Lytechinus pictus: one gene and its partner. The protein of the gene in region 2 interacts with the protein of the main gene of each other region in a biochemical or structural test. Links are inferred from orthologs where the notes say so. Each region holds a gene or a part of one and is shown on either strand. Other genes may lie near its edges.

Region 1 (16,870 bases), on a different chromosome or scaffold from region 2:
TCTAAATCCTGTTTGCTTTATCCCACTTTTCCACTAAGATTTATCCCTTTTGCGTGTCATATGAAAGCAGTTTTGTGCGCAGATCTAGCGTACCGGTAGGACCACATGCAGTCATTAATAGCTCTCTTTAATTTTTTTTCAACAAATGATGTCTCATGCTTTCGTTAAAATTAATAAATTAGAATCCTTGTATATGGCCCTGGGAAGTGGGGTGCTCGGGTTGTGACCCCCAAGTTTTTTTTGTTTTTTTTTAGCTGGTGGTGCGTTTTTTGTACACGTATATAGTTTAAAACAGGAAGAAGAATGACATTGATTTTTGTACCGCATTATTTTCATTAATTTATTGGTAGAAATACAAAAAAAAAAGTTTTGAAAAAACATTTTTCAAAACTATTCCGCGGCTCCTGGAAGAATGGAGAGATGGACGGAAGGAGAGAAATAAATAGGATGAAGGGGTGGATCCAGCTTTCGCCAAAGGGGGGGGGGGGCAAATTTTTTTTCACCATTATTTTTCCCCAATCGGCCTTCTTTGAAGAAATGTCACTTCTTAGCTTTTGTCTTATAAATCAACATAAATATATAATATCATAACCCTTTTTATATAGTGCGAGCTAATTTATTAAAAAAAATATGTTTTTTCCCCAAAGTTTGAAATTTCTGGGCAATGTTTATCATGAAAAAGATGTGTATGCAACTAAATAATTACTAAGAACGCGAAGTGCGAACAGAATTGAAATCATAGGCACTTTGCAATTAGCAATTGATGCGAAGCGCGAGCACAAAATTGGAAGATTTAGACCTAAAAACGAGACATGTCTAGTCATGTCTTTTAAATCATCATGGAAAGGATGTCAAATTGCCGATCTTTGTTACTTTAATAATGCTCGCGCAAATTAGCGCGAGCATAAGATTTTTGTATACGTTTTGAACTGATCAAAAAGGTACCTGTTAAGGAGTGCTTATTTCACTTAGCCATGGAGACGTTACATATTTCAACAATAAAATAATGCAAGCGCGAGCCGATTTTTTTTTTTACACTTCTACATAAAGAATGGACAATTTTAATCAATTATTGTGACCATGAACAGGATCGTCGTTATAAAACAATTAATGCGAGCGCGAAGCGCGAGCGGAAAAAATTGACATTTAGACCTAAAAAATGGGACACTCTATTCCTGTTTTGTATAATAAGGATGAGTAATAGGGGTTCTTCCTACATAAAAAATGCGAGCACAAAGCGCTAGCAGAATTTTGTTTTTCAGAAACTGGATAATGGTTGAAATACTAACAAGTTGAGTATCTAGATAGACATGCGCTCGCGTGTTTCCGATTTAGGCCTACAATCTAGGCATTCTGAATATATATTTTAACATGAAATTGAAAATCAAAGCGAGCGCGAAGCGCGACCTTAAAATATTTGACATTCTGATCTGAAAAAGGGGTCAATTTCAGCTCAAGTACTTTGTGAGGTGGATTTGGATCGCACTTAATAAAGAGCTGATAGATTTGACAAAGGACCGGGACATGAAAGTGATGAATATCTTCCTATTCCTCTTGCTAAGAGCTAGATGAAACAGAAAGGACAATTTAGCCATTAAAATTAATATCTAATCTATAAATGCCTAATGAGGCGCGAAATCTGATGATAACATGGTATGAAAACTGGAAATTTCAAGCACTTTTGTAATTATGAATATGATGTATCAGGTAATATTTTTAACCGTTTATGCGAGCGCAAGTCGCGAGCCAAAATTTTTATAAGGCCAAGTCACAAGGATTACCCTCCTTTTAACTGCCATTATCAATATGTTACTACATTATAACCATGTATTTACTCTACATATGCATTAAATTCTGTGAATCCCATAATCTTGAACCATTAATGCTTCTTTCTTTGACCCATGCTATTTCTGCCCATATATCTCTTGAGGTTTTTTTTTTTCTCTCTCAAGGTGTGTATGGCACATTGAGGAGTATAGAAGCATGTTGGAGATATTGAAAGGGGTAGAATAATTGAATGAAATTCACGAATGGGAGAGATGCCGAGGGGGGGGGGGCAAAGATGTTGAGACAGAAAGGGGGTTTGAGAGAAAAGAGGGGAATTAACTATAAAGGAACAGCAGTCAGGAGAGGGAAAGAGAGAGGGGGGAGGAAATCGAAGGAAGATATGCATACGATAAAAGAGTCCTCGTAGAAAAAGTGAGAGAGAGGGGGGATATGGAACTGAGAGATCATAATGAGATAAGAAAGAAGTAGTAGTGCATGGGCGGATCTATCGCCAATAGGGGGGGGGGTGCCAATTCGTCTGCGGCCAACTTGTCCACTCATTACATGGTCTACTTTCATTTAGTCTAATGCCAATCTGTCCATCAACATTTCGTCTAACAGCCATTGGTCCATTAACCATTTGGTCCAATCATCACTTCGTCTAATAACCATCTCGTCTATGACCATTTAGTCTCATAACCGGTTGGTCTAATACCCATTTTATTTTCATTCATTTTGCACAATAATACACTTATAGTCCAATTAGATGAAATGGTATATGGACCAAATGGCTTTTGGGTCCACTGGTCATTAGACGGAATGGCATTAGACTAAATGAAAAAAAAAGACTATGTGGTGAGTTGACGAACTGATGGACCAAACGATAGTAGACGAGTTGGCAATTAGACAAATTGGAAATAAACCGGGGAAGGGGCCGAAAAATATTTGCACCCGTATTTTCCACAATCAGCCGCTCAAAGTTAATAGGGGTAGTCCAAACAGTCACTTCTTTATTCTCATTAAACAGCATACACAAAACACAATATACAATAATCTCATAGCCCCTATAGTGCAAGTGCGAAGCGCGAGCTAAAATATTTTTGAAATTTCATGTTTTTTATCCTCAAAATTGAACATTCTGGGCAATGTTTGTGAAATGGAACAAGATGCGTATTTTACTAAAATTGCTGCGAGCGCGAAGGAGCAAAAAAAAAAAGTAAGTAAGAAAAGAGAGAAATATACGTTCTGGCCTGATCGAAAAGGGACTTGCTAATGGCGGTTTACAGTTAGCCAAGAAGACGATGCATATTTCAATCAAAATAATGCGAGCGCAAAGCTCGAGCTAAAATGTTTGAAATTCTGACCATAAAAATAGACATTCCAAGCACTTTGTGTATGAACAGAACACAGTGGGAGCACGAAGCGTGAGCGGATAACAATTGAGATATATAGACCTAAAAAGGAACACTATTTTATATTTATGTTTTCTAAATCGTGAAAAGGGTGGGTAATTGGTTACCGTCTTACATTATTTTATAATGCAAGAGCGAGAAGAAATTTTTTTATATTCTAATCTGAAGCGAGATAATTTAAGCATGCTGTTTTCAATAAAGGATAAGCAGCCCGTCTCAATAAACATGCGTGTTCTAGAATTTGTGCATTCTTAATACACTTTTTATCACGGAAAATCAATAATGCGAGCGCGAAGCGCGAACTGATAATATTGGATATTCCGATGTGAAAAGGTCAAATTAAGCACTGCACTGTGCAGGAAAATAATCGTAAAGTGGACATGGATTGCTCTTAAAAAATGAGGCGAATGCAAAGCATGAGCTGAAGTTATTCTGGCCTAGGACCGGGACATTCTAAGGACATTTTTTCATCATAATTATGAATGTCTTCCGATTCCTCTTCCCAAGCGCAAAAAGAAACATGTCGATCTTCCATTTTGAAAAAGTGACAACTTAATTACGGTATTAGGAATTAATGAAATGTTATTAATATCTTATTTACTAATCTAATAAGCCTAATGAGAGCTCTAAATTTGTTGATATTAAAGTGTTAACCCTGGACATTATAAGCACTTTTGTAATTATGAATATGATGCATTAATTACCGGTAACGTACTTTTAGAAATTAATGCGAACGGCAATTGCGAGCAAATTTTTAATTTAATAAACTTATTATTAACTCAAAAAACTGTCATGAAAAGGCGATTTTAAGTACTTTGATTTATATATATTTTAGGTATACATAACTCACCAATTTAAGCACGTGCGTGCAATGCTAGCTGATAAGATTTGACAATCAGACCTTAAAAATTTATATTTTGATAAATTTATGGAATAGGGCCTACATGAAGAGGATAGGTACTCCACAAATGAAATAATGCTAGGGCACAGCGTGAGCTAAAAATGTTGATACTCAGATCATAAAACGAATATTTTACAAAGCACTTTTTTATTGATTCGTTATACCTCGGTCACACTTTTTCTACGGCGAGTAGAAAACAGTCGTTTAAACATTTTTTGTGCCAGCTAAATATAGGTGGTTTGAATAAAAATGAATAAAACGGCTGTTTCGACTCTCCGTACGGCCGCCGCAGAGCAAATGTGACCGAGGTATAAATAAAAAAGAATAATGAAAGTTCAATGTCCTAGCTGACCGTACAGTATATGTTTTGTATTTTGACTGCAAAGCTTAAATGTCAAGCTCATATATATCAGCCTATTGAGCAATAATTATGTACTCATCGAAAATGAGCAATGCGAGTGCGAAGCGCGAGCGAAAATTTCAATTTTGCATGTTCTTTTAAATCATCAAAGTCTCCCCTCCCTAATTTTATTCACTTTTCTCCCTCCCTTTTCCCCTCTTCCTTTTCCACTCTCTTTTCCTTCTGTTTCTTCTTCCTTTCTCCATTTTTTGGTCTTTAATCCGCCAACAGGGGGGGGGGGTGACCGCCCCCTGGATCCTTCTATGGTAGCGATGGTGAAAGCATTTGAATTATTCACCTCACAGTGTTAAACGGGGAAAATAGGAAATGGCTAAATTTTGAAAATCATTAATGTGGAGCCCTATTCAAGTTTAGTTTCATCTATATACACTTTGACAGGGGCTGATCCAGGATTTTCCAAAGTGGGGGCATTCAAGACCTAGTATGCTAGGAAAAAATCATTCCATACACAAAATTCCTTGGAAAAGTTGAAAAATAAGTCCTCACTTGAGAATGAACGACAAAATCCACTAACAAATATTTGATATATTACGGGAGGGGGACCTTTATTTGTCTCCCCTTTCCTTATTCCTCATCCATTCCATAGGCAGATCCAGGTGCCGGACCCAATTATGGGCGGCGGCAACCCCTCCTACTGGCTGGCGGTGCGAATTTTTTTTTTTTTTTACGGCGCAGATCGGGGAGAAAAATTGTAGTCCCCCCCCCCCCCATTAGCAAAATTTTGATCTACACCGGGTATTTGTCTGTCGTACCTTCCAGTAAATGAAACAACAAAATAAAAAAAATCACCGTTGCACTAGTATTAAAATTTTTGCGAGTCTTTATTTTTCAAATATTTTTGTTTATAATGGTATTCATTAATTATAATTATAGTGGAGGTTCGCATCCCGAGAATGTGAAATGAAAAAAAGAAAACAAAAATTGCACTGAACAGGAAACACTAAACGTCCTTTTCAATTCCAATTTACTTAAAGTCATTCAAATAAAAAAAATTAGCATAATTTTTTGATACCTTAACTTGTTCATCACGAATACAATGAAGCCGACAATTATTTAGGTTTGTTTTGGATTAATCTTTATAATAATTCACTTCAAATAAAATTCATACATTAACAGGAAAATATCACAGAAAATAATTTTAAAAAATTAATTGCAGTTGTATAAAACATCATAGAAAATAACATGACAGATAAATTTAATCTCGACAGGCACACTGTTCATTCGATCATAAAACAATCGCGCTGTTTCACTCCTTGTACACGCACAACTCTATCAGTGTTGTTTCATCTTCATCTGTCCTCAATGGCAAGGACACCAGCATGATTCATTCACTTCAAATAAAATTCATACATACATATACAGGAAATATCAAAGAAAAAATTATATAACAAATCAATTGCAGTTGCATAAAACACGATAGAAAATAACATGACATATGAATTTTATCTCGACAGGCACACTGTTACATTCGATCATGAAACGATCGCGCTGTTTCACTCATTGTACACGCGCAACTCTATCTGAATTGTTTCATCTGTCCTCAATGCGGCAAACACCAGCAGTGCAGTGACGATAATAAGTTGCAGTTGCACGTGCGCGGAGAATGAATTAAATTCGGCGGCTGAGTAAAGTCTAGCGAGAAAGGTACGTCACCAGCGAACTTCACGATAGACCACGCCTACTTGCCGAGGTAACCAACGTTGATTGACGGCCCATTTAGTTTTTTGAGTAGTATGAAAAAGTACAGGCATGTATAAACTTCATTTTAGTTTGAATTCATTAAAAAAACACATTTTTCTTCTAATATAGATGTTTCAAACATATTCCATGTGGAAAACATAATTTTTAAAACATTTATTGCTATATTTTTATCATGAAAAAAGGATTTCTTACGCAACAACAAATATGATATGTGTGGGCAAGAGAACTACCGTTTTAGCCATAAAGCATATTTTTTATGATTTTATTGTGAGCCTACTCAAGGATTTTTGTTTATTTTTTATGAATTTCCAGACCAAGTTCAACAGCGCCGTCTCGAGCTTGCAATAACGCATGCGATCGCACGCATTTTTCTCCATAGCGAATACACGCGACGAAACTCTGTGGATTTCTCGTGGATTTAACCTCCAAACGTCACTTTCGATACCACATGAAGGTAAGACACTTCATCCCACATAAGTAAATTTAAATATAAAAAACACAGGGCCTAATTTTTTTCACTAAGATGAACTAATTTGCTGAGGAAAAGCATTTCAATGCTCATTTTTGCCGTCGAGAACAGACGATGGTGGCAATGCACACTGTTTACGCACTTGCAATTGACTTTTCATTTGCCCATAGCAATTTTGCTCAGTGGATCGGCAGACCTTTTGGTAACTCTACTTGAAGTTGACGCTTGAGCTTGCCAATACTATATACTACAAACTCAAAAGAAGGAATAATTAAAAACAGTTATATTATAAGCTAGGCCCTAATTATGCAGACAAAGTGTAGAACATCAAGATTTCTGAATAATAGTAGAAGGAAATTATTAAATATCAAACTTGAAAGTAAGCAAAAATCTGTAATCTGCAATGCACAAGCATGGGGCACCACTCATACTGTGATTAATGATTTTATACACGTGTTATTCGAATACATTTATCACGGAAACGTGTTACCACCCGTTCTTATGGCACGGTACCGTAGACCTACACAGTAATGTATCAGCAATAACATAATGCCATCCTCCCAAGTTTGTATCAACTTGTTAATTCAAGGATTTCCATCAAATATGAAAATACTAAAATCAACGGCATTATTTAACTTAATCGTAATTGAATTCAAATGGTACCTACAAGACAAAAATATATAATTACCGTACCGATTCAACTACAAACAAAATCAACGTCAAACAAACCGCGAAGAAGTAAAATCTCGCGCCATCTTGTGACATCCTTCGACCTAGCCTAACGTTGTCGTCGTTAGGCCTACGTTACGTTGAAATGGTATAAAACCGACAGTAAATAATCTTCATTTATCAAATTGGCTCTCCATCAAATTACTATACTCACTACACAATATTTGGCAAAATGAGTCATATCTTTAGTCAGGAGTCGGCAAAAAAAAAAAAATTAACTATACAACTGTTGTCGAATAATATATCACATGCGACATCCTCGCACGGCTGTCAGACCCTGTGGCCTAATGGATAAGGTGTCAGCCTCCGGAGCTGAAGATTGTGGGTTCGAGTCCCATCAGGGTCGAAAAATCATGCCTCATTTTTATCGATAATCAATTAATCGAGATAACTCATGTGACAAAGAAAATGTATTTCTAATCACTGTTATTACCTTTATCATGGTTTTAAATATATTGAATGATCGTTGGTATGTAGGTACAACAGTAGTAGATTAAATCTGAAATTTCAGCAGTTCTCTGACAAGTTGTCACCTGAAATTAATGACAGATTTCTTTGTTTTTTATCGGCTGTGAAGCACACTCGTTTTACTGTTACTATGGTAACTGTGGAATAAAACAGACTGATAAAACATTCGATTAAAGGCCAAGTCCACCCCAACAAAAAGTTGATTTGAATAAAAAGAGCATAACACTGAAAATGTCATCAAAATCGAGTGTAAAATGCACAACTCAGTGATATGCAAATGAGGTGATCGATGTCCCCCACTCACTATTTCTTTTGTTTTTTTTAATGTTTGATTTATACAATAATATTTAAGTTTTACAGCTAGATTTGACAATAATTATTGACTCTTTTGTTTAAACCTCAAAATGTTAAAACAATGATAACTACACATGTTCACGAGGAATAAAACTTCGTACCATATGGTAATGAGGAGGAAATTATAATATTTCATATTTCATGTAATGAAAATACAAAAGAAATAGTGAGTTGATGATGTCATCTGTCTCCTCACTTGCACACCGAACATGATATGAAAATAACTATTTTGTGAGATTAAGCGAAACTTTAAGATATGTCATAAATGTCTTATTTTACATCCGATCGATTTTGTTGAAATTTTCAGTGTTAGGCTTATGCTTGTTTGATTTTTCTCTTTTTATTCAAACCAACTTCATGATAGGGTGAACTTGTCCTTTAAACTCAACCCTGATTTTTTTAAAGGGTGGTTTTGAAAGACTGGTCAATGGTCAATCGCGGGGTCAAACGTATTTAGGGTATGTTTTTTTTTTCCAAAGCTTTTTTTTAAGATAACCAAACGTGTTTATAGGGTATGTTTTTACCCAAGCTTTTTCCTCTTCGTTTCTGAAAAGTGTTCGGGCGCGAGACAAATCTTGTTTAGGTCAAATCTTACCTACCCTCTTTTATCTTGTGCAATGTCAGATCGGCCTGCAATAAGTTTGATGAGTTATCGGCCGTTATCTCATATTTTAATGCAGACATTGCCGCCATTACTGAGACTTGGTTTAGAGATGACTGTCCATGCATCTAATAGTTTCTCCATCCCGGGCTATTGTTTAGGAGCTAAATCAAGATGTGATCGACGAGGTGGTGGAGTAGCGATATATGTGAGAGAGTATTTGAATCATTCTTTAGTCAACATCCAAGTTCCCGACGACCTTGAAGTGACTTGGATGAAGATACGTCCTCCCCGTCTTCCGAGATATATCTCTTGTATTTACTGTGCTGTTGTATACTATCCAAAACCTGATGCAGAACTCGAAAGTGAACTAAATCGTCATTTAGTGAATACTATAGATATTATCCTAACGAATCACATGGATGCAGGAATTGTGGTATTGGGCGATTTTATTCAAATGAACATTGATCCAGTAATTATAACTCATCCTTTTCGACAAGTTGTGGATTGTCCTACCAGAGGAGTTCATATCCTAGACAAGATTTTTACTAATATTCATCAGTATTATCATAAACCAGAAATATGTTCCCCTATTGGAATGTCAGATCATAATTTGGTAAGTTTTAGACCCATCCGAAACCATAGCCATATTATCAAATACTACTCGTTGTGTATTTAATAGACAAATGGCTGACAGTGCAACGGTAGCGTTTGGACGATGGATATCCAATTATGACTGGCCAGAATTAAAGGACCATCTCGATGTAAACGTTTTATGTAATTCTTTTCACTTAACGTTAAATTCTGCAATAAACACATATTGTCCTATTCGTAAGGTGGTTCTTCATGTTAGGGATAAACCCTGGATGACAGGAGAAATCAAATCCCTGATTCACAAGAGACAGATTGCATTTCATCTAGGGAAAGAAAATATTCGGAAGCACTTGAGAAAAAAAAAATTCACTTATAAAGAAATCAAAATTAAATTTCTACTCATCGAGGATCCAGAGACTTAAAAAAAGTAATCCTTCACGATGGTATCAAGAAATAAAGATCCTTACAAAAGGAAACCAAGCATCACTAAACATCCGGGATGAAGGTATTGATCCTAGTGATACAGTGAAAATAGCAAATGCTATAAATGAACATCTCATATCTGTCTCTTCTGACTTAGAGCCGCTTAATATGGCTTGTCTCCCTGCATACCTACAATCAAGAAGACTTCCTGATGTAACCCCATGGCAAGTTAACAAGGCCCTTTTAAAAATCAAAGGTTCAAAGGCTAATGGCCCTGACGGTATTTCAGCGCGCTTGATTCGCCTTTTTTCTGTAGAACTCTCTGATCCTTTAACGTGTATAATCAATGCTTCTTTTAGGCAGGCTAAAGTTCCGGACTCCTGGAAACGGGCCATCGTGGTGCCGATTCCGAAAGTTAATCCTCCAAGTATTGACAAACTCAGACCTATATCTCTGACAGATCACTTTGCTAAGGTTATAGAATGTTTTATAGCAGAATGGATGTATCAAGATATTTCTAAACACATTGATCTTTGTCAGTTTGGAAACCAAAAACATTTATCAACCTCACATTGTTTTATTAATATTCTTCACCATATTTTCTTAAATGCAGAAACACCAAAAACAATATCAACTGTTCTTCTCACCGATTTCAAAAAGGCATTTGACAGAATAGATCACACAGTTGCCATTAAAAAAATAATCGAAATTGGTGTGCGCCCATCGATAGTTCTTTGGATTTCAGATTTTCTGTCTGAGCGTAAACAATGTGTACGTTATCAAGGTGATCTTTCAGATTGGTGCCAGATCAAGGCAGGTGTGCCCCAGGGTTCAACAATTGGTCCCTTAATTTTTCTTATGATGATAAATGATTTCAAAACTAATGAATGTATGCATACGTTTAAATATGTTGACGATTTAACTCTGGTCGAATGTCGTAAATCAAACCAACCTTCAAACATGCAAGAAGCAGTAACATGTCTGCATAATTGGGCTGAATCCAATAAAATGCAATTGAATCCTACAAAGTGTATCAAATGGACATCTGTTTCTCTAGAAATCCAGTTAACCACTATCCACTTAACCTTGATAATTGTGTACTTGCCAGTGTGACCCAAGTAAAATTACTTGGCGTTACAATACAGAACGATTTAAAGTGGGAAGCACATATTTCTGACATTGAAAAGAGAGCAAACGCAAAACCCGCACTTTAGCAAAATACGGTCTTTCTCACGAGGATTTAGTTGCAATTTTCATTGGCTATATTCGACCAATACTGGAATATGCTGCTCCAGTTTGGAGCGGATGTCTCACAATTGCCCAAAGACAACGCTTAGAAAGAATTAAAAAACGCGCCTTAAGAATTATTCTTAGAAATGATTATGATTGTTACACTACTGCTCTTACTCTGTCAAAATTACAACAAATAGAAAAACGTCGAAATGATCGAAATGATCGAGTGTCGCCTTCTTCAAAAAAACTTTATTATTTACAGTTCAGTTTGAACAGTTCATTCCCCAACGATTTCAAACATAAAACCTACGTAAAACAAGAAAGATATACGAACCCAGATGTAAAACAAATCGCTTAGAGACATTCTTTGTGATAAGCGCTATATAAATGATGTTAATTATTATTATTATTAAGCGTATGTGGAACAGCCCAATCCCTGATCTGATCCGTTTGTACAATGAATACCCTTGAATGATTATGCTTTTGGTATTGTATATAACTGTTAGGATTATTTGTCATATCATATTCATTGCCGTAACTTGCCCTTTCTTTTTTATGTATTTGCTATGTGTCCTTGTCAGGGTCAATCTTACCCTCCCTGATGGTTTTTCTTTTTCTTCTTTTCCTACCTAATTTCTCTAACCCTGTACTCTTTCCTTGCCTTCTTCTTTCCAGAAATCTTTCTTGATCCTGACAACACAGTTATATATGAATGTGATTTTAATAGTTTTAATTGTATCATAAGATTAATGGTATACAGTATACTGTATTTTATCTACTTACACACTTGAACATTGTATTGTAAAATGTATTCAATGAAATGTATACTTGTATTTTTAGCTTTGTAATTCACATGTAATTCAGTTTGTTAACTGCAATATGTGGAGAATTTTAATAAATACCATTTATCTATCTAGCTATCTATTTATCATATTCTGTCGACAACCTGTTCTGGGGCCAAAATGTGTAAATGAAGCCCGCGAAAAACTTGTTTAGGAGGTTATTTTGCACACAGAGAAAAAATCATTTAGGGGGTGTTTGGAAACAATTTGGTCACGAATGTGTACAGCAATACATTTGACTGCCCCCCCCCGGGACTTTTCCATTGTATTCATTGGCAGGTTTTAATTTCATTTCACTATATATTTGGCAGGGCTTGAACACTTGAAAAAAACTAGAGGCTTGGCTAATTTGTAACTCTTTAGTCTTCCCTATATATACCCAGGCGCAGATCGGGGGGGGGGGGGGGGTTGATTGCTTACCCCTTAAAAATTGCAACCCTAAAATAAAAGAATCAAAATGGATTTAGGCCTATTTTCGAGTGACGACCTTTATTTCTTTCTTTCTTTTGCTTGTAAAATAATTCTGGAGATAAAACACCCTTAATTCATTTAGCAATGCTTTTGTATTTTTGAAATACAAATTAATGCAACGAATCTCAGGTATGACTCAAACTGGATTTCATAAGCAATATAGACCTACAGTAACAGAGATGTGCTTATATAGACTAAAAAACAACTAAGGCGGCGTCTGGGGGCTTGAGAAATTTTAAACGTTGATTTATTCAATACAATTGAAATGGCCTATTATGGGCAGCATAATAAGTGGGAGACTATACTGATCTGACCAAACAGGGAGCTTAGCGACCGAGGAAACAAGGTCACATATTTAAAATGCTTGAAAAAAAATTTCCATAACAATTCCATCTGCATGTAACACCTATTAGGCCCCAAGTGATATGTGGATGAGGGCATGCGATTTCACTTCAAGATAAAATGGGACAAAAAAAAAAGAAGGAGCTTGCGTTGTTACTCTTTCCAGGCGTTTAGTGAGTCAAGTGAACTGAACGATCTGAACATCTGGGTGGCACTTTTAAGCTTCCATAAAGAACTCCTACTTTCAAGAGCTTTATTTTCAAATACAGAGACCTTTGAACGAAATATTTCCGGTTATTATAACCGGTTAAGGAAGGTTTATTGGTAATTCTAACCGGTAAAATCGGTATTAGGTTGATTTAATTGGTTTTACGGTTATTTTTACCGTTTTTAAAATGAATCTGACTGTTCATATTATTTTTCTAGTTAATTTAACCGGCTTAAAACAGTTTTTAAATGGTTTTTAAAGTATTCCCGGTTAGTTCTACCGGTTAAGGATGATTAACCAGTAATTTTAACTTGTTAAATCCGATTTAGGGTGTTTTAAATTGTTTTCCGGTTATGTTAACCGGTTTAATAGAGTTTTTAAATGTTTTTAAAGCAATTCCAGATGTCTTAACCAGTTAAGGAAGGTTTATCGGTAAGTCTAATCGGTAAAATCGGGATTAGGTTGTTTAAATGGTTTTACGGTTATTTTTACCGTTAAAAAATGAATCTAACTGTTCATATTACTTTTCTTGTTAATTCAACCGGTTTAAAAGAGTTAAGGAAGATTTACCGGTAATTCTTACCGGTAAAATAGAATTAAGGTTGTTTATAATGGTTTTCTGGTTATGTTAAAACAGTTTTTTAAATGGTTTTTAAAGTATTTCCGGTTAGTTCTACAAGTTTAGGATGGTTTACCGGTAATTATAACTTGTTAAATAGGTTTTAGGTTGTTTTTAACTGTTTTCCGGTTATTTAAGCCGGTTTTAAACAGTTTTTAAATGGTTTTGAAAGTATTTCCGGTTATTTTAACCGGTAATATAGAATTAAGGTTGTTTATAATGGTTTTCTGGTAATTTTTACCGTATTTAAAGCGATTCTAACTGTTCATATTACTTTTCTGGTTATTTTAACCGGCTTAAATTTATTTTTGATGGTTTTAAGTGGTTTTTAAAGTACTGGTATTCCATTTTGTTTTTTGTCATTTAATTTCTTCTATTTTTATTTGGGCTATACCATGTTAGTTGGGTTATTCTATTTTGTTACTTAATTATTAGTTAACTTCTTTTTCATTTGGGCTATTCCATATTCGTTAGGATATTCCATTTTGTTTTTTATTATAAAATACCTTTTTTTATATTCAGGTTATTCCATTTTGTTTTTATGATTGAATTCCTTGTTTTAGTTTAGCTATTCCATTTTGTTTTTTATTATAAAATTCCTTTTTTTTATTTGGGCTATTCCATTTTAGTTGGGTTCTTCCATTTTGTTTTTTATTATCACATTACTTCTATTTTTATTTGGGTTATTCCATTTTGTCACTTAATTAAGTTCTTTTTTATTTGGGCTATTCCATTTTTTTTTTAATTATTAAATTACTTCTACTACCAATATAAAGCATAGCATAGCTCCACGTTGAGCAAGATACTGTAGGTTTCACGAGCGTAAAAAGTTTCCCATAGACTCGTGTGCAAAGTGGCACTTATTAAAAAATATCATTACAAATAAGGATAAAATTCGGAATCCATATCAATCCATATCTGACCAGAAACGGGACCCTCGACCAGCTCACTCTAAAAATAAATTGGCATTTATGATGACATATCTCCAGAGGGATCACATTCATCGTCTGAAACATGAAAATATCCCTAATCCTTCCGCCATTCAAAAATTGTTCAAGAGTTGGCGATATATCTTCTCAGTTTGGGAAAAGAAAGTTGCATCGTCACCCTCCATAGAATTGGTGTTCGATGGACAATCATATTCATACACTTTGTCAATCAGCCACATAAAAATAAAAAAATGAGAATGGGTTGGCTCGAATGAATATCTTTTGCCTTCCAGTTGTAAATAGGCCCATCCGAACACAACCACTCAACTAAATTGGTATACTCTGTTGCATATTGTTTGCTGTCCTCTATATGCCACGGATTTATACCCCACTTCTCATATTTTTTATGCATGTCGACCCCGATCTCAATAAAACTGAGATTGCGATTAAGATCTACTCTTTCTGTACTCAACAAAATAAAATCAAAGTTTAAAAAAAATCACAAAGAACTGCGCAAATCGTGGTAATACATACAAATTAAAAGATATATGAAAAATGGAGCTGAAGTGACTTTTGCTTGTAAGTAGGTCTTATAATATAATCGGGAAAGAACCAGTGGCGTAGCTACGGGGGGGCCTGGGGGGGGCACGTGCCCCCCCTGAGATTTGGTGTGCCCCCCCAGGTGCCCCCCCTGAAAAAAAATGGCAGAGCAAAAAAAAAAGGGAGAAAGAAGAAAAGAAAAAAGGAAAAGAAGAAGAAAGACAGAAGAAAAAAAAGAAGAGGAAATAAGAGGAGGAAGACGAGTGAATGATATAATGTGAGGGGAAGACTTGCAAAAAAAAAATCCTTCATGTTACTTTATAAATTTTTTTCTTGCGCTTCGCGCCAGAATTGCCTGTTCGATGAGATTCATATCTTGCTCAATAGGCTGATATGGAGCAAGTTTTGAAGTCAATATACAAAACATATTTTAGCTCGGACATCGAGCTTTCATTATTTTTTTTCATTTACAAATTTAAGTGCTCTGTAAAATGTCCATTTTATGGTCTACATATCAGCATTTTAAGCTCACGCTGCGTGGTCACATTGTTTGATTTGCCAAGTTCATATTGTCTACGTGTCCCGGCTACGTGTATTCCATAATGTTCCATTAAACAAATGTATTCAGAATGCCCAGATTCTAGGTCTAAATCTAAAACATGCGCGATAGCCTGCATGTTCTTTATTTAAAATGTACTTAAATTATCCAGTTTCACATCAAAATATCAATAATTGTCTGCTCACGCTTCACGATCGCATTATTAATGATACCCAATTAACTATATCCTATTCATGATTTACAAAATATGAATATAGTGTCCCGCTTTTAGGTCTAAAATCTCAATTTTCTTCCTCTCGCACTTCGCGCTCGCATCAATTGTTTAGTTACATAACTATCCCATTTATTAATACAAAAAGTGCTTAGAATGACAATTTTTTTTAGGTCGGAATGTCAAAAAAATTTGCTCGCGCTTCGCGCTCGCATTATTGAAATATATACCATCTTCCTTAACAGGTCCCTTTTCGATAATGCTAGAACAGTTAATAAAAATTTCTGCTAACGCTTGGCGTTCGCAGTAACCATCTAGTTACATACGAATCTTCTTCAGGATCACACATAACATTGCCCAGAATATCACATTTTCAGGACAAAATACATGAAAGTTAAAAAAAATCGCTCGCGCTTCGCGCTCGCACTTTTTATAAGGCTTATGAGATTATTTCATGTTTATGTTGTTTTATAAGAATAAAACTGAGAAGGGACTGATCGGGGAAAATATAGGTGAAGATAATTTCGGGCCCCGTCCCCTATTGGCGAAAGCCGGATCCGCCCTTGTGACACATACACACACCGGAAAAATGGTGCCCCCCCTGAAAAAGCAAGGACCCCCCAGTGCCCCCCCCAGGAAAAAAATCCTAGCTACGCCACTGGAAAGAACGGAGGAGCATGCCAAGGAAAAGCCATGTTTGTACGGGAGGCAACCCCCTGTAACTTAGTTTCCTAGTGTATAGGCAATATGCAACAAATATATAATACAGCGTCACCGTCGTGACATCCCCCCCCAAAAAAAAAAAAAAAAATTAAAGCAAATTATCAAAAGTTACAAGGAATGAGTGACACTATTTTTAGGTATAAGAAATTAATGATTGGTAATGAAATGAACAAATAAGATGATAATAATGAAAAATAAAATAATAAGATAATATTACTGGTAAAATTATGATAGTGAGATAGAAATAAAGAAACAAAGAAGAAAGGCTGGTTGTAGGTAAAACTGGAAGTTCAAGGAAGAACATGGCAGATGCATTGACAGGTCTCGCCAGGCAAGTTCTATCCTTGGAATAG
Region 2 (16,109 bases):
TTCAGGGGGAACTACCGTCTTGGCCCCTTTATGGGGCTCTGCCCCTGGACCCCGCCAGGGGCAGAGTCAGCCCCCTTGGACCCCCAGCCATTGGTTGTCCAGATTTTACATTTCTAAATATTGGCAGGTATGAGAATATAAGCAGTTGTGATTAGTTTGGATTGGCCAAGTAAAATTTGTAGTTTATGCTTTAAAGATTTATCCATTAGTGAAAGAGAAGAAAAAGAACTAATTCAAACTTACTTGAATCCCTTTTCTGTACACATAAAGGAAACAAGAGCTTCTTCATCAGGTGCTGTCCACTTGAGCTACAAAAACAAAACAAATGAACAAAGTTAAATTGTTGTATTTGGATGGCTTTCCCCAGTACAAATTACATTTAATCTTTTAAAGAAAATTGAATACTAGTTTTCATAACTTGAAGAATCCAAGAAGGGGAAGTGTCCCCCAGCCCCCTTTAATGCTGCCTCCATTTAAAATCCCGCCCCTTTAGACATACATCTACTGAATCCAACCTCTTCTTATCCCTCTTTAAATATTCTACTCAATACAAGATTTTCAAATCCATTCGTTCCCGCAGAAGGGCAGAAATGGCTGACCATTTTATCTCTTACAAATAATAATTTTTATTTTGTTTTATGATAACATTTAATATTTCTTACATCCAATTCTTCAGCAGGAGTGATGTCCGGAGACAGGAAGAGTTCTCTTGCTTCCTTGAAAAGCCAGTCCTCTGGGGGAGGGTATTTCTGAAAATGAAAATCAAATAAGATGCTGATGAATCCCTCCCTACCAAAGTGACAGAGTCATTTATAAGAGTTAATTTGGACCCGGGTTCAAGTTAGACAGGTAACTGGTCAGGCAAGCAAAAAGAAGAATATGTCTATAATCTGTAATTTGTCTTTAGTACTTTTTATCATAGTGGTCCCTACGTAGGATAGTTACATTGGGGACATGTTTCTGATTGGTCAGTTATTTCTTGGAGCCTCTAAAGTTCCCCACATTCAATCTATGTACAGTGGAATCTACTCAGATGCTTTATACTAGTATTCTTTCCAACATACACACCTATAGATATAGTGCAACCTTCACGATGGAAAAAAAATTCTGCCAAGAGTGACCTCTGATTAACTTACAGTTTATTACCTCAATAGGTCTGATATTTCTCCCATATTGAATATAACATCAGTGTGATATACAACCTTGAAGGAAGGAGAGTTGTAGGGCAAGGCTGCTATAGTTGAATAAAAAAAATAATAAAATCTACCTACCAGAAAAAAAAAATGACTAAAAATCTACCCAAAAAATTACTAAGAATCTTGAAATTCAAGTAGATGGTAGTTGGGAGTAAATAAAATCCATATAATTAATCAAACACAAAATTAAAGCCATTAAGAAATTAACATTACACATATTTGAACAATGCTCTTTATACCTCCAAATGAAATCTTTGACATATCAAAGTTAAGAGCTCATCTCGACTCTCAAGTAGAAATCACACCAAAGGTAATTGGAGAACACATCACATAAACACAGTCCAATTATAAATACCACATACCTCTATTTTGCAAATCATGAATAGACAGATTGAAGGTTACTTTGCTATCGGTCTTCAACCTTTTCTTAATCAAACTGTTTAAACTCTACTTACATTTTGGTCTATCTTCTGTAGGATTGTCTCAATGTTGCCATGCGTCTTTACAAGGTCGTAGGCTCGCTTCATACCAATACCTCTTATAGTACCACAGTAATCACAGCCCATAAGTATACACAGATCAATGAACTAATGAGAGACAAAAAATGAATGAAACGGTTCTAGATGGTTGCAATGTATGATAACGGTTCAAGATGGTTATATTATTTGGTTTTTTATGTGAACTTTGCTCTTTCCTCATGCTTAAAACAGTAAAGAAAATAATTTCAATAATTATTTCCTGACAATTATGAATGATTTGAGTGTCAAAAGAGCTGATAAATTGAACTTGTACTGTGAGAGATACCTGTCACAGTTGGCTATCCATAGTTAAATTGCAACTTTAGACCAGAGTTTAAATTACACCAATAATACTACAAGGGGAAGATTGGACACTTTGGCGATTTTTTGAAACGCTCGATAAATGCTCATGGGGAAGGACGTCCACTAGCGTTGAGTAAGTAAACCATCGCTCATCGGCACGCAGCTGTGTATAAAACATATGATGGAAATGAGAGAGGGGACTTTGGAGAGGGCTCAAGGGTGGCACATGGGAATAATTCCACCTTTTGAAATACCCAAAACCCTCTGAACATATATTCATCTCTAATTCAAGGAAGAAAAATTTGAAGAAAAAAAATCTTAAAATGTGAAAATCGTCTATTCCTTCAACCCTTCACCATTTCTCTCTAATGTTTTGTACACAACCATCTCGCAATAAGCAAAGGTATAAAAAGGTTGTTACTTGCTCAACGCTGTAGAGCGCTCTTCCCAAGCGTTTCATTGTGCGGTCTATGTACTGTCTTATCTTCCCCTTGTAGTATCTTTGATTAAATCTAAGTTCAGAATACAGGCCAATGAGTCTACTGAAGTCATTTTAATATCCATCTTACCTGTTGTCTGTCCATGCCGAGACCCTCTAAAACTCTTTGGTAGTTGAACTCTTGAACAGGCAATTTCCTATCAGAAATTAGAAGACAGGATATTCCAGTTTTATAAAAGAATGAAAGCAAGCTATCTTCAAGCTGTCCAGAATATGAATGTAAATATAAATTGAATGAATCTTTCAATATAAGAATCTTTATTTTCATCCCTCCTATTCATCTTTTTTCTTTGCACTTAAAGCCTATCTCAATCTTTGATAAAGGGTAAGTAATGTGAATTATACTCAAGTATCATCAATCATTGCAATATTACAAAAGCAAAGCAGTCAATTAATTCTTTTCCTACCCCATTAGAATTTGCATTTTACAGGCCATTAAGATTCAAATTTAAATCAAGCTTCTTCTTTCTGTGATGTTTTACATTTTTATTCAAAATAGCAGTTGGAACACTTACTTTGCATATTTAGAAATTGAATATTAAAAAGCTACTTAGAGGCATATCCTAAAATTGTTAGCCAATTCTATTCTTGAGGTGTTTTACAAAAATACAGACACATTATTTTGTTCAGGCACCCAATCAATTTAAATTTTAACGTAAAATCTGAAAATTTGCCTAATAAAACATATTTTTAGTTTATATATATATCCTTCACACCACAACCATTTTGGGGCACATGCATTAATATAATCTAGTAATGAAATAAAATAGTGAAAAGCACTTTTTTTTTGGGGGGGGAGGGGATTAACCAAAACTAAAGATCTATAGGCTTTGATCATGGTGCTAGTACCTTGCTTCACTGGCTGTCAGATGTCTGAGTAGAACATTGCCACCAAACGTCAATGCATCCATGTCTTCAGTGCCTACCCCATACACTTTGCCTTTCTTCACGAGTTCACAGCATTGTGCTTCTGCTTCTCCTGGTGCCTGGATGGATTGTGGAATACAATTCGTACAGATAACCCTTTGATTACCAAGTCCTGTAATTCCCAAAGGTTTGGTATAGAGATCATCCAGTTCTAGTAAGCAATGTGTTAACACATTGACTATCGAATTGTGCGATTCCCATAGGTTTCGTTGAGAAACCATCCGGTTCCAGTCCGCAATGAGTTCATGTCAGCCTTGTCCATGCCTGGGCACAGTTTCATAAAGAGCTTCTAAACCATGAGATCATGGCAAATACCACAGTAACAGGGCTCAAAAGCCAATCAAAATCAAGGCTTTCAAGGGGGTTTACCAGTCATAACTATTTACGAAAGGGAACCCTGATACAAGTTATTGATCAAAAAAATTAAAATTTCACCATCCTCAAATAAATTTGAAATTGAAATAACATTATATTCTTGATTTATTTAACTGAATTCATTAACTATTAATATGAAACACTCTAACCAGCACCTAAAACAAGAGAAACTACTACACTGTAAATAAAAACATTTGAACAGTTCTAATTTTCATTTTGAAACCCATTAGTTTTTAGAAACCGATGAAGCATCTTTGGCTCTATGAGCCAACCATAACAAGGGAGACTTCTAGTACTAGGCTGATAAAAATGACAATCTGTAACAGTCCTTACATATTGGAACTTTTTAGTTATAAAAAGTGATGTTAAAAGCATCTTGGGGTGGTGATACAAATACACTGAAAGTGAACTGAAGTCGGTTTCGGAGGTGGCTCGACTTATGTATACCATCTCCCTTTTTTTGATTGCCGGGCTGACACCGGCTCGGACTGAATAAAGACCGAGTCCACCTTTGTATGTGGTTTGAAGGAACCTTCACGCTGATTTAGTCCTGCAATTGGTGTGTGTTTCACCCCCAAGTGAACTCAGGCCGGCTTGACCACTAAACTAGAAATAGCGAGCAAAAGTCATCGCTAACGAACAATAGAAAATGTTGATATGAAAAGAAAGGCGACTTGGAGCCGGCTTTATGTGCATAAGGGGAATGATGATGTCGAGGTGGCTTGAGTCCACTTTGCACGTATGTGCATCACCATCCAAATTGCAGACGTGAAGGGGGCTTCAAAGCCGGGGTCGGAGGCGGCCTCAAACCAGATGCATATGTATCGGCTGCATGTGTATCGGGTCTTTTGACTCTGTGAACTAACCTTAACAAAAGGGATACCCATGAGCTTGAGGAGGTGCTGACACTCCTCATTGTGTTGCTTGGTAACCTTCACCAATCGTTTTTCAAATTTATTGACATTCTCCTGGTCTCCTTGCTCCTTGGCCTTCTCCAGCTCCTTCTCAGCCTCTGCTCTCATCTCCCTCCTCTTTGTCAGTTCTCCAGATTTCATTTCGGGAGGCTTCCCATCGAACACATAGCTGAAGGGTAAGAAATAATACTACTACTACTATTCTACTTTACAATAGCACTGGAGCAATGTCTCGAAGTGCTTTTATTACCCAGGCCATTGGATTATTGCTTGCCTGCACAATCTCCGCTCTCTGTGGAGTATTCCAGCAATGAGTAGGCCTACTGGGTCAAAGGTGGAAATAAACGGTACAGTTCCATGGTAGTTCAATTTCTGTATTATATCAGGACATTCTCAGGGGAATCCTGCCCAGACATTACAATGTTTAAAGAAACTTGAAAGATCAGAGAAGCTGATAGGAGAAATTTGAAATATTGGACAAGAGAGGAGGGTTTATTTATTTCTGAGAATTTTACAAATTTACAATCACTACACCTTACAGGGATTTGAAATCAAACCATTTATCAACATTCCATCCCCTTTAAACCTTGAACAGTATAGGTTCCTATTGGACATAGTAGACCCTAATGATCCGAATCGGATCTTAAAGACTATTTTCATTCCTTATATTATAAAGCATTAAGCAGCAGATTTTGGTTTATCATTTGAATGAACAATTAAGTATCTGGCTCTGGAGATTAATGGTAAATTGACTACCACTTTGAGCAAATTAATCATCTAAGAATAGAGAAGGATGGTTCTATGTGGGTGAATCATTCTTACCAAGGTTTCAGTCCATTCTCAATCATCCTGATAGTACGATAAAACATTCCCATAAGGTGGCTGCGAATAAAAATGAAAAAAAAATGTGGGTAAAGGTATATAATAAATATTAGTAGGATGTGGAAGAATTTATAAGTAATCTGTATGCCTTCCAGTTGGTTCTTCTAGATTAACTTTCCACCAATGTCAGTGATGGGATATAGGAGTGGTTTTCATTGTACTCCTTCCCCTGTAACACTTTCATGGTAGACATAAGTCTCCAGTGAAACTTTCGTAGTATGAGATGTGGGTACCCAACCTGGTAAGTATAAAATACTTGTCATCAATTAAGGGGGGGATGGCAAATATAAATTCTCTTTGACTTACTTTTTTTATATCGGTGAACTTAATCAGTTGTGTAATATAATATTGAAGTTAATTTATTATATAATTTTGAGTGTGCATAAAAAGATCTACATGAACTTTGAACAAGAGTGAACGAGGGATCAAATATTACCTTGTAGTTTCACCTTCTTCATTTGTAAGTACAGACCCATCCTGACGTACAGCAATCAAGAATTGGTAAATGCACATAGAAGCATCAATGGCAACTTTACGGCCTGAGGGAAAAATAATATGAAATTAATATCAGGATTGTTTCGCTATTTGCATTCATTTATCAGATCTTTATAGGAAACTCATGAATATGCATCTTGAGCCGCGATCCCCGAGCATGTGCAATTCGCGTTTAGTAGAGGTGCTGGTCCAAAATTTGGAATTGTCTCAGAAAACAAGGATATCCTTAACCAAGACAAATCATGTCTTGATAAATTAGGATTGTCCTTGTTCATGGGGACAGTGTTTTTTCACTTTCCCCTGCGGGACATAGACGGCAATTACGGGGATTGAGATTGCTAAAAATAGATTCAGTGAAACCTGATATGTTGACTAACACATGACAGGTGAATGAACTTTCTTAGATTTGTGTGGAGAAATCTTTGAAAACTAAGACAGTCCCTGAAAACTGGTAAAGACAACATGACATGTGTTTATAAGTTCAGCAAAAAATTAATAAAGAAATAAAATGTTACTAAACACGCAAAATCATTTATTTATTTTTATCAAATTTTTTTCTTTGCTTCCTTGTGAACGTTGGAGAGATATTATAAAAACTGTTTAACATTTAAACGAATGGGAATATAATAATAACAACTAGGTATAAAAATATAATTACAAAAAATACTAGGCCGATATATTTGGATAATATTGGTGATGTCTTTTATAAATTCTACTAAGTAAAGTGTGTGCTAGCTGAATGTATCCTCAAATCAACCTCAAGTTGAACTGGTTATTTTCTCTATATGATGCGGATTATTTCAATTGTGTTTGCTGATCATTCTCATTTTCATGGTTATTTTCCCTATATGATGCAGATTATTTCAATTGTGTTTGCTGATCATTCTCATTTTCATGGTTATTTTCCCTATATGATGCGGATTATTTCAATTGTGTTTGCTGATCATTCTCATTTTCATGGTAATTTTCCCTATATGATGCGGATTATTTCAATTGTGTTTGCTGACCATTCTCATTTTCATGGTTATTTTCCCTATATGATGCAGATTATTTCAATTGTGTTTGCTGATCATTCTCATTTTCATGGTTATTTTCCCTATATGATGCAGATTATTTCAATCTTCCGATCGCGGAAGAATGGTCCTAGGACGTTCCTACGTATTGTTTTCTCGTCATGAAATAGGCCAGGCCCCTTGTTTTCAGGGACAATCCCAATTTTTGGACCAGCGCCTCTACTGATGATGGATTGATGATGATGATTAAAGTTAATTTCAGGATGACATGACATTGAGACACTGATTGATGAATGATTGACTGATGATTGACAATGATTGACTTTAACTTAGGTTCCTCCCCTGGACCGCGCCAATTCTTCAGACGTCACCGTTTATCACCAGGAGCTGGACATAGAGGAACAGAAGATCCTGCATCCAGAACTGAACCTTATATGACTTTATACATTGCAAAAATGTGGAAATGCATGTTTGTACATATCATTTGTTCGGGATAATTTCATTTTCATAACTAACATAATATAATTATTAAAAAAAAGGAGCAAACCAAGTGAATTCAATTTAACATCCACATTAATTGTTTAAAGATTACATTTGAAAAGAATTATTGATGATAATATAAGCTAAGCAATAGGTATGATTTCTTTCAAAAATCGAAATGAGTGGAAAAAATATTGAAATTCGCCTTATTAATTATGCACTAATTTGCATTTACATGGAATAATTGAAAAAACGTAGGTCTAACGTTAATTAGTCTTATCTTGAGTCTAGTCTACCTAGAGAAGAACACAAGCATGATAAGGCATAAGCAGAAGTACAAACATATCATCATATGTATTACTTTTGATTTAAAACTGAAAATCATGTGACATTGCTACTTATGTAACCTTCTGTCTGTATGTAAGATCAAAAGAAAATTCTAAATCTAAGTTTCAAGTAAGTTACTTAGACCTAGTCTTACTCTAATAGTAAAAATACTATAGTTTCAAATTCAAGTACAAAGTACAAAAACACAGTGCTACTAAACTAAAGTAAATTTAATAAGATCTTATTCTTCTTGTCTTACCAAAATAACTTTTAAATTCATGTTCTTTCACTGCTCCTGGAGCACAGTCAGCAATTAGTCTTGAAAGATTTAGAATTCCCATCTTAATTAGACGTCTTAATGTATTTTAAATTAGCCCTTCGATGTGATTTAATTCGTAAACAATGTACAGAACTGCAGAGTCAAGAAATGACAAGAGAAAACAGCATCACTGGCATTCAGTGGCTGGCATATGTCATCAAGGCGCGCGCGAAAGTTCGCGGGTATTTGCACATGGTGATTACTCCACTGAGTGCTTCCTGTCATTCATTTTGAAACAAACTTAGCCTATGTCAAGTGAGCCAACAATAAGCCAGCCAACAGCAAGCCAGCCAACAGTTCCAGCCAACAATATTGCGATATAAGATAGATCAGATACAGGATTTTGCGCACGAAGAGAAGCGTGCATTCTTGTACAAATCAAACAAACGGGATCAGGGCTACACGGGCCTAATCACTAGTGGCAGGCCATAGATATTCATTCGAGCCAACCCATTGCTATTTTTTTTAATTTTGATATGGCTGATTGACAAAGTGTATGCGTATGATTTTCCATCTAACACTGATTCTATTTTTGGTAATTACTGAACTTCTTTTTCCCAAATTGAGGAGTAAATTTCAACTAACAGTCCTCTTTATAAAATACAATTGGAAGATTGCTCCTGAAATATATTTTGGGTGTGTAGGGGGGTTTCCCTTCTTTCAATTTGTAAAGAAAAACAACGGGCTAGTGCTTTAGTTTTAGTAGCCCACACCCCTATATACTCTATGTGTTTTCGTATATTGAGGAGTAAATTTCAACTAAAAGTCCTCTTTATAAAATACAATTGGAAGATTGCTCCTGAAATATATTTTGGGTGTGTGTAGGGGGGTTTCCCTTCTTTCAATTTGTAAAGAAAAACAACGGGCTAGTGCTTTAATTTTAGTAGCCCACACCCCTATATACTCTATGTTTTCTCGTATATTCAGGAGTAAATTTCAACTAACAGTCCTCTTTATAAAATACAATTGGAAGATTGCTCCTGAAATATATTTTGGGTGTGTAGGGGGGTTTCCCTTCTTTCAATTTGTAAAGAAAAACAACGGGCTAGTGCTTTAGTTTTAGTAGCCCACACCCCTATATACTCTATGTGTTTTCGTATATTGAGGAGTAAATTTCAACTAAAAGTCCTCTTTATAAAATACAATTGGAAGATTGCTCCTGAAATATATTTTGGGTGTGTGTAGGGGGGTTTCCCTTCTTTCAATTTGTAAAGAAAAACAACGGGCTAGTGCTTTAATTTTAGTAGCCCACACCCCTATATACTCTATGTTTTCTCGTATATTCAGGAGTAAATTTCAACTAACAGTCCTCTTTATAAAATACAATTGGAAGATTGCTCCTGAAATATATTTTGGGTGTGTGTAGGGGGGTTTCCCTTCTTTCAATTTGTAAAGAAAAACAACGGGCTAGTGCTTTAATTTTAGTAGCCCACACCCCTATATACTCTATGTGTTTTCGTATATTGAGGAGTAAATTTCAACTAACAGTCCTCTTTATAAAATACAATTGGAAGATTGCTCCTGAAATATATTTTGGGTGTGTAGGGGGGTTTCCCTTCTTTCAATTTGTAAAGAAAAACAACGGGCTAGTGCTTTAGTTTTAGTAGCCCACACCCCTATATACTCTATGTGTTTTCGTATATTGAGGAGTAAATTTCAACTAAAAGTCCTCTTTATAAAATACAATTGGAAGATTGCTCCTGAAATATATTTTGGGTGTGTGTAGGGGGGTTTCCCTTCTTTCAATTTGTAAAGAAAAACAACGGGCTAGTGCTTTAGTTTTAGTAGCCCACACCCCTATATACTCTATGTGTTTTCGTATATTGAGGAGTAAATTTCAACTAAAAGTCCTCTTTATAAAATACAATTGGAAGATTGCTCCTGAAATATATTTTGGGTGTGTGTAGGGGGGTTTCCCTTCTTTCAATTTGTAAAGAAAAACAACGGGCTAGTGCTTTAATTTTAGTAGCCCACACCCCTATATACTCTATGTTTTCTCGTATATTCAGGAGTAAATTTCAACTAACAGTCCTCTTTATAAAATACAATTGGAAGATTGCTCCTGAAATATATTTTGGGTGTGTGTAGGGGGGTTTCCCTTCTTTCAATTTGTAAAGAAAAACAACGGGCTAGTGCTTTAATTTTAGTAGCCCACACCCCTATATACTCTATGTTTTCTCGTATATTCAGGAGTAAATTTCAACTAACAGTCCTCTTTATAAAATACAATTGGAAGATTGCTCCTGAAATATATTTTGGGTGTGTGTAGGGGGGTTTCCCTTCTTTCAATTTGTAAAGAAAAACAACGGGCTAGTGCTTTAATTTTAGTAGCCCACACCCCTATATACTCTATGTGTTTTCGTATATTGAGGAGTAAATTTCAACTAAAAGTCCTCTTTATAAAATACAATTGGAAGATTGCTCCTGAAATATATTTTGGGTGTGTGTAGGGGGGTTTCCCTTCTTTCAATTTGTAAAGAAAAACAACGGGCTAGTGCTTTAATTTTAGTAGCCCACACCCCTATATACTCTATGTTTTCTCGTATATTCAGGAGTAAATTTCAACTAACAGTCCTCTTTATAAAATACAATTGGAAGATTGCTCCTGAAATATATTTTGGGTGTGTAGGGGGGTTTCCCTTCTTTCAATTTGTAAAGAAAAACAACGGGCTAGTGCTTTAGTTTTAGTAGCCGACACCCCTATATACTCTATGTGTTTTCGTATATTGAGGAGTAAATTTCAACTAAAAGTCCTCTTTATAAAATACAATTGGAAGATTGCTCCTGAAATATATTTTGGGTGTGTGTAGGGGGGTTTCCCTTCTTTCAATTTGTAAAGAAAAACAACGGGCTAGTGCTTTAATTTTAGTAGCCCACACCCCTATATACTCTATGTTTTCTCGTATATTCAGGAGTAAATTTCAACTAACAGTCCTCTTTATAAAATACAATTGGAAGATTGCTCCTGAAATATATTTTGGGTGTGTAGGGGGGTTTCCCTTCTTTCAATTTGTAAAGAAAAACAACGGGCTAGTGCTTTAGTTTTAGTAGCCCACACCCCTATATACTCTATGTGTTTTCGTATATTGAGGAGTAAATTTCAACTAAAAGTCCTCTTTATAAAATACAATTGGAAGATTGCTCCTGAAATATATTTTGGGTGTGTGTAGGGGGGTTTCCCTTCTTTCAATTTGTAAAGAAAAACAACGGGCTAGTGCTTTAATTTTAGTAGCCCACACCCCTATATACTCTATGTTTTCTCGTATATTCAGGAGTAAATTTCAACTAACAGTCCTCTTTATAAAATACAATTGGAAGATTGCTCCTGAAATATATTTTGGGTGTGTGTAGGGGGGTTTCCCTTCTTTCAATTTGTAAAGAAAAACAACGGGCTAGTGCTTTAATTTTAGTAGCCCACACCCCTATATACTCTATGTGTTTTCGTATATTGAGGAGTAAATTTCAACTAACAGTCCTCTTTATAAAATACAATTGGAAGATTGCTCCTGAAATATATTTTGGGTGTGTAGGGGGGTTTCCCTTCTTTCAATTTGTAAAGAAAAACAACGGGCTAGTGCTTTAGTTTTAGTAGCCCACACCCCTATATACTCTATGTGTTTTCGTATATTGAGGAGTAAATTTCAACTAAAAGTCCTCTTTATAAAATACAATTGGAAGATTGCTCCTGAAATATATTTTGGGTGTGTGTAGGGGGGTTTCCCTTCTTTCAATTTGTAAAGAAAAACAACGGGCTAGTGCTTTAATTTTAGTAGCCCACACCCCTATATACTCTATGTGTTTTCGTATATTGAGGAGTAAATTTCAACTAACAGTCCTCTTTATAAAATACAATTGGAAGATTGCTCCTGAAATATATTTTGGGTGTGTGTAGGGGGGTTTCCCTTCTTTCAATTTGTAAAGAAAAACAACGGGCTAGTGCTTTAGTTTTAGTAGCCCACACCCCTATATACTCTATGTGTTTTCGTATATTGAGGAGTAAATTTCAACTAAAAGTCCTCTTTATAAAATACAATTGAAAGATTGCTCCTGAAATATATTTTGGGTGTGTGTAGGGGGGTTTCCCTTCTTTCAATTTGTAAAGAAAAACAACGGGCTAGTGCTTTAATTTTAGTAGCCCACACCCCTATATACTCTATGTTTTCTCGTATATTCAGGAGTAAATTTCAACTAACAGTCCTCTTTATAAAATACAATTGGAAGATTGCTCCTGAAATATATTTTAGGTGTGTGTAGGGGGGTTTCCCTTCTTTCAATTTGTAAAGAAAAACAACGGGCTAGTGCTTTAATTTTAGTAGCCCACACCCCTATATACTCTATGTGTTTTCGTATATTGAGGAGTAAATTTCAACTAACAGTCCTCTTTATAAAATACAATTGGAAGATTGCTCCTGAAATATATTTTGGGTGTGTGTAGGGGGGTTTCCCTTCTTTCAATTTGTAAAGAAAAACAACGGGCTAGTGCTTTAGTTTTAGTAGCCCACACCCCTATATACTCTATGTGTTTTCGTATATTGAGGAGTAAATTTCAACTAAAAGTCCTCTTTATAAAATACAATTGGAAGATTGCTCCTGAAATATATTTTGGGTGTGTGTAGGGGGGTTTCCCTTCTTTCAATTTGTAAAGAAAAACAACGGGCTAGTGCTTTAGTTTTAGTAGCCCACACCCCTATATACTCTATGTGTTTTCGTATATTGAGGAGTAAATTTCAACTAAAAGTCCTCTTTATAAAATACAATTGGAAGATTGCTCCTGAAATATATTTTGGGTGTGTGTAGGGGGGTTTCCCTTCTTTCAATTTGTAAAGAAAAACAACGGGCTAGTGCTTTAATTTTAGTAGCCCACACCCCTATATACTCTATGTTTTCTCGTATATTCAGGAGTAAATTTCAACTAACAGTCCTCTTTATAAAATACAATTGGAAGATTGCTCCTGAAATATATTTTGGGTGTGTGTAGGGGGGTTACCCTTCTTTCAATTTGTAAAGAAAAACAACGGGCTAGTGCTTTAATTTTAGTAGCCCACACCCCTATATACTCTATGTGTTTTCGTATATTGAGGAGTAAATTTCAACTAAAAGTCCTCTTTATAAAATACAATTGGAAGATTGTTTCTTTCGTATATTGAAGAGTAATCTAGAATGAATTTTCTTTCTGATAAAGATTGATTGGAAGATTGCTCCTAAATCAAATTTCGGGTGTGTGAAGGGGAGTTTCCCTTCTTTCAATTTGTAAACAAAAACAAATGGTTAGTGCTTTACTTTTATTAGCCCATTACAGACGTTTAGCGAAAAATGTCAAGGGGGTGGGGGCTTATTAAGCTCCCCCCCCTCCTCCTCGGGCTAGATAGGGTTAAGGGGGCTACAGCCTTCTCCCCCATTAACCCCACTTTGTTTTGTTTTGAAGCAAGATAATACGCGAAAAAGAGCATTGTGAAACAGAAATATATTTCGCACTGTATAGGCTTTTTAAGTGGTGTATAATGCAAATTAATTTTCAATACCCAAGAAATTTTCTCGCTTGGTCACTTGTTTCTATAGCTGTTATTCTGACTCTCTTTTGTTATCAACACTGGCGTACAGATGGAGAGGGGGAGGGCTTTTGTGGGCTGGAGCCCTCATAAATTCCAACCATTTTTTTTTTCAATTCCCTCGAAGTTGTATATAAAAAAATATGAATATATATATATATATATGTATATATGTCCGTGTGAGGGTGTGTCAGTGTGATGGTGTGTGTTTGTGTGTGTGTGTGTACGCGCACTTGCCACTTGTTAATATAAACGTATTGAAGGAATTAGGGAACTCGCTTCACATACCCGAAATTTCTTTATGGATCAATCTTCCCAGGAGGGTGGGATCACTATTTTTTTTTTTACTTTAGGACTAGCCCCTTGTTTGTAACCCTAGATTGCAAATATGTGAAACCCCCTACAAACAACTGAAAGCTCTACCAGGAGCAATCTTTCTATTTGCTTTCAACAGGCAATCTTTTTCCATTATATCATTCTCAATATTTTTAAAACATCGAGTATATTATAGGAGTGCGGGCAACTAAAAAAATCAGCCCTAGCCCTTCTTAGTATCCAAAAATTGAAATGAGGTTTAATAAACTTCCTACAAACAACCGAATGGTCTTCTAGGAGCTATATTTCCGTTTGCTATCAGGAGGTTTTTTAATTTTACTTAATCCCCAATTACTGTCAACAGTAAAATAAGGACAAAAAAGGATATAAATAATATATAGGAGTGTGGGCTACTGAAATGTAGGCACTAACCCCCCCCCCCCCCTTTATAAACGAATTGACAGAAGGGAAACTCCCCTCCACAAACACCCGAAATTTCTTTCAGGGGCAATCTTCACTTTTGCTTTTCAGTCAAGAATACTTTCATTTTTATTCACCCCTCAATAGTAAAAAAGAAATACTTTTTAAAAGGGCGCAAATAATAAGAGAGGGCCAGTGAACCTTATCTAAGGACAAGCCCCTTCATTCTATCAATACAGTGCTTATCAATAAAAACTGGACAGTTTTGAAAAGTCTATCAAAAATTAATTTAAAATTATGATGTCTATATTTTGATGTTTATAGATGCTCTGAAACCTTATATTTTAAATGCAATTTTAAGAAATGAATTTTGTTCATGCTTGAACGAACACGAGATTTGTCAAGGGTTCAAAAATAGGTTTGTGCAGAAATGAGAGGAAACAAAATATATGGTCATTAGACTTCCTGCTAAGCAGTAAACTTCCTCTTAACATTTTCATTATCTTTGCCATTGTTTTTAAAATTATGTTTCAAAATTCACTCACAAACTTATTTAGTTACTTAAAAAAAAAAGTTATTTTTTAGGATTGCATATTTAATAATTAATAAAAGTCAACCCAAGAAATGCTTAATTGCATTTTTTTTGGCCTCAATTAGAGGATTTTATTTACAACAAAAAAAACATAACACATTATGAAAATGAGCATACATGACATTACAGGAAATTTCAGAAATCAAAACAAAAATTTACATAATAATGTAATTGTGCAATAATCTTACGTAATCTTTAACATAAATTAAAAAAAACATTAAATGGAAACATGAAATTCACAGTGTTTCAAATATATTCCATAATTTCTTTGGGTAGATGAACATATCTTTTCCTATACCGAGGTTTCATTTCTATTCTTCTTTCTATTTCTCTTAAAAATATGAATTTCAGATCCAGTTTAATTTGACCAGTAAAATTATTACTGGTCCAGCAAAAATTGTACTGGTCCAGTTTAATTTGACCAGTAAACTTATTACTGGTCCAGCAAAAATTGTACTGGCCCAGTTTAATTTGACCAGTAAAATTATTACTGGTCCAGCAAAAATTGTACTGGTCCAGTTTAATTTGACCAGTAAAATTATTACTGGTCCAGCAAAAATTGTACTGGTCCAGTATAATTTGACCAGTAAAATTATTACTGGTCCACCACAATTTGTACTGGTCCAGTTTAATTGGACCAGTAAAATTATTACTGGTCCAGCAAAAATTGTACTGGTCCAGTATAATTTGACCAGTAAAATTACTGGTCCACCACAATTTGTACTGGTCCAGTTCAATTGGACCAGTAAAATTATTACTGGTCCAGTTAGTTTGACCAGTATATTTGTTACTGGTCCAGTTAAAATTATACTGGTCCAGTTAAATTTGACCATCAAAAAATTACTGGTCCAGCTTATAGCAGACCAGTATATTTTGTTCCAATTTTCAGAGTTACCAATTAAATTTTACTGGAGTAACTGGTCCAGCCGTACTGGTTTTTCCTTCTGGGATTGCCTCTCTTTTCGTTTCCACTCATGTTTCTTAA

What was found.
Region 1: the proteins of flap endonuclease 1-like (region 2) and checkpoint protein HUS1-like form a complex in vitro, tested with the Homo sapiens proteins (2 studies listed by BioGRID). The link is inferred for Lytechinus pictus from reciprocal best matches to the Homo sapiens genes FEN1 and HUS1.

Annotation. Positions count from the first base shown.
Region 1 is NC_087247.1:32,716,572-32,733,441, forward strand, and holds the start of checkpoint protein HUS1-like, read right to left. Parts: upstream 7,699-16,870; 5' UTR 7,555-7,698; intron 7,467-7,554; exon of another isoform or gene 7,339-7,466; intron 1-7,338. UniProt on the Homo sapiens protein: Component of the 9-1-1 cell-cycle checkpoint response complex that plays a major role in DNA repair. The 9-1-1 complex is recruited to DNA lesion upon damage by the RAD17-replication factor C (RFC) clamp loader complex.
Region 2 is NC_087246.1:25,352,817-25,368,925, reverse strand, and holds the start of flap endonuclease 1-like, read right to left. Parts: upstream 8,643-16,109; 5' UTR 8,271-8,642; coding exon 8,189-8,270; intron 6,154-8,188; coding exon 6,051-6,153; intron 5,615-6,050; coding exon 5,555-5,614; intron 4,902-5,554; coding exon 4,685-4,901; intron 3,503-4,684; coding exon 3,366-3,502; intron 2,654-3,365; coding exon 2,587-2,653; intron 1,784-2,586; coding exon 1,652-1,783; intron 750-1,651; coding exon 663-749; intron 309-662; coding exon 244-308; intron 1-243. UniProt on the Homo sapiens protein: Structure-specific nuclease with 5'-flap endonuclease and 5'-3' exonuclease activities involved in DNA replication and repair.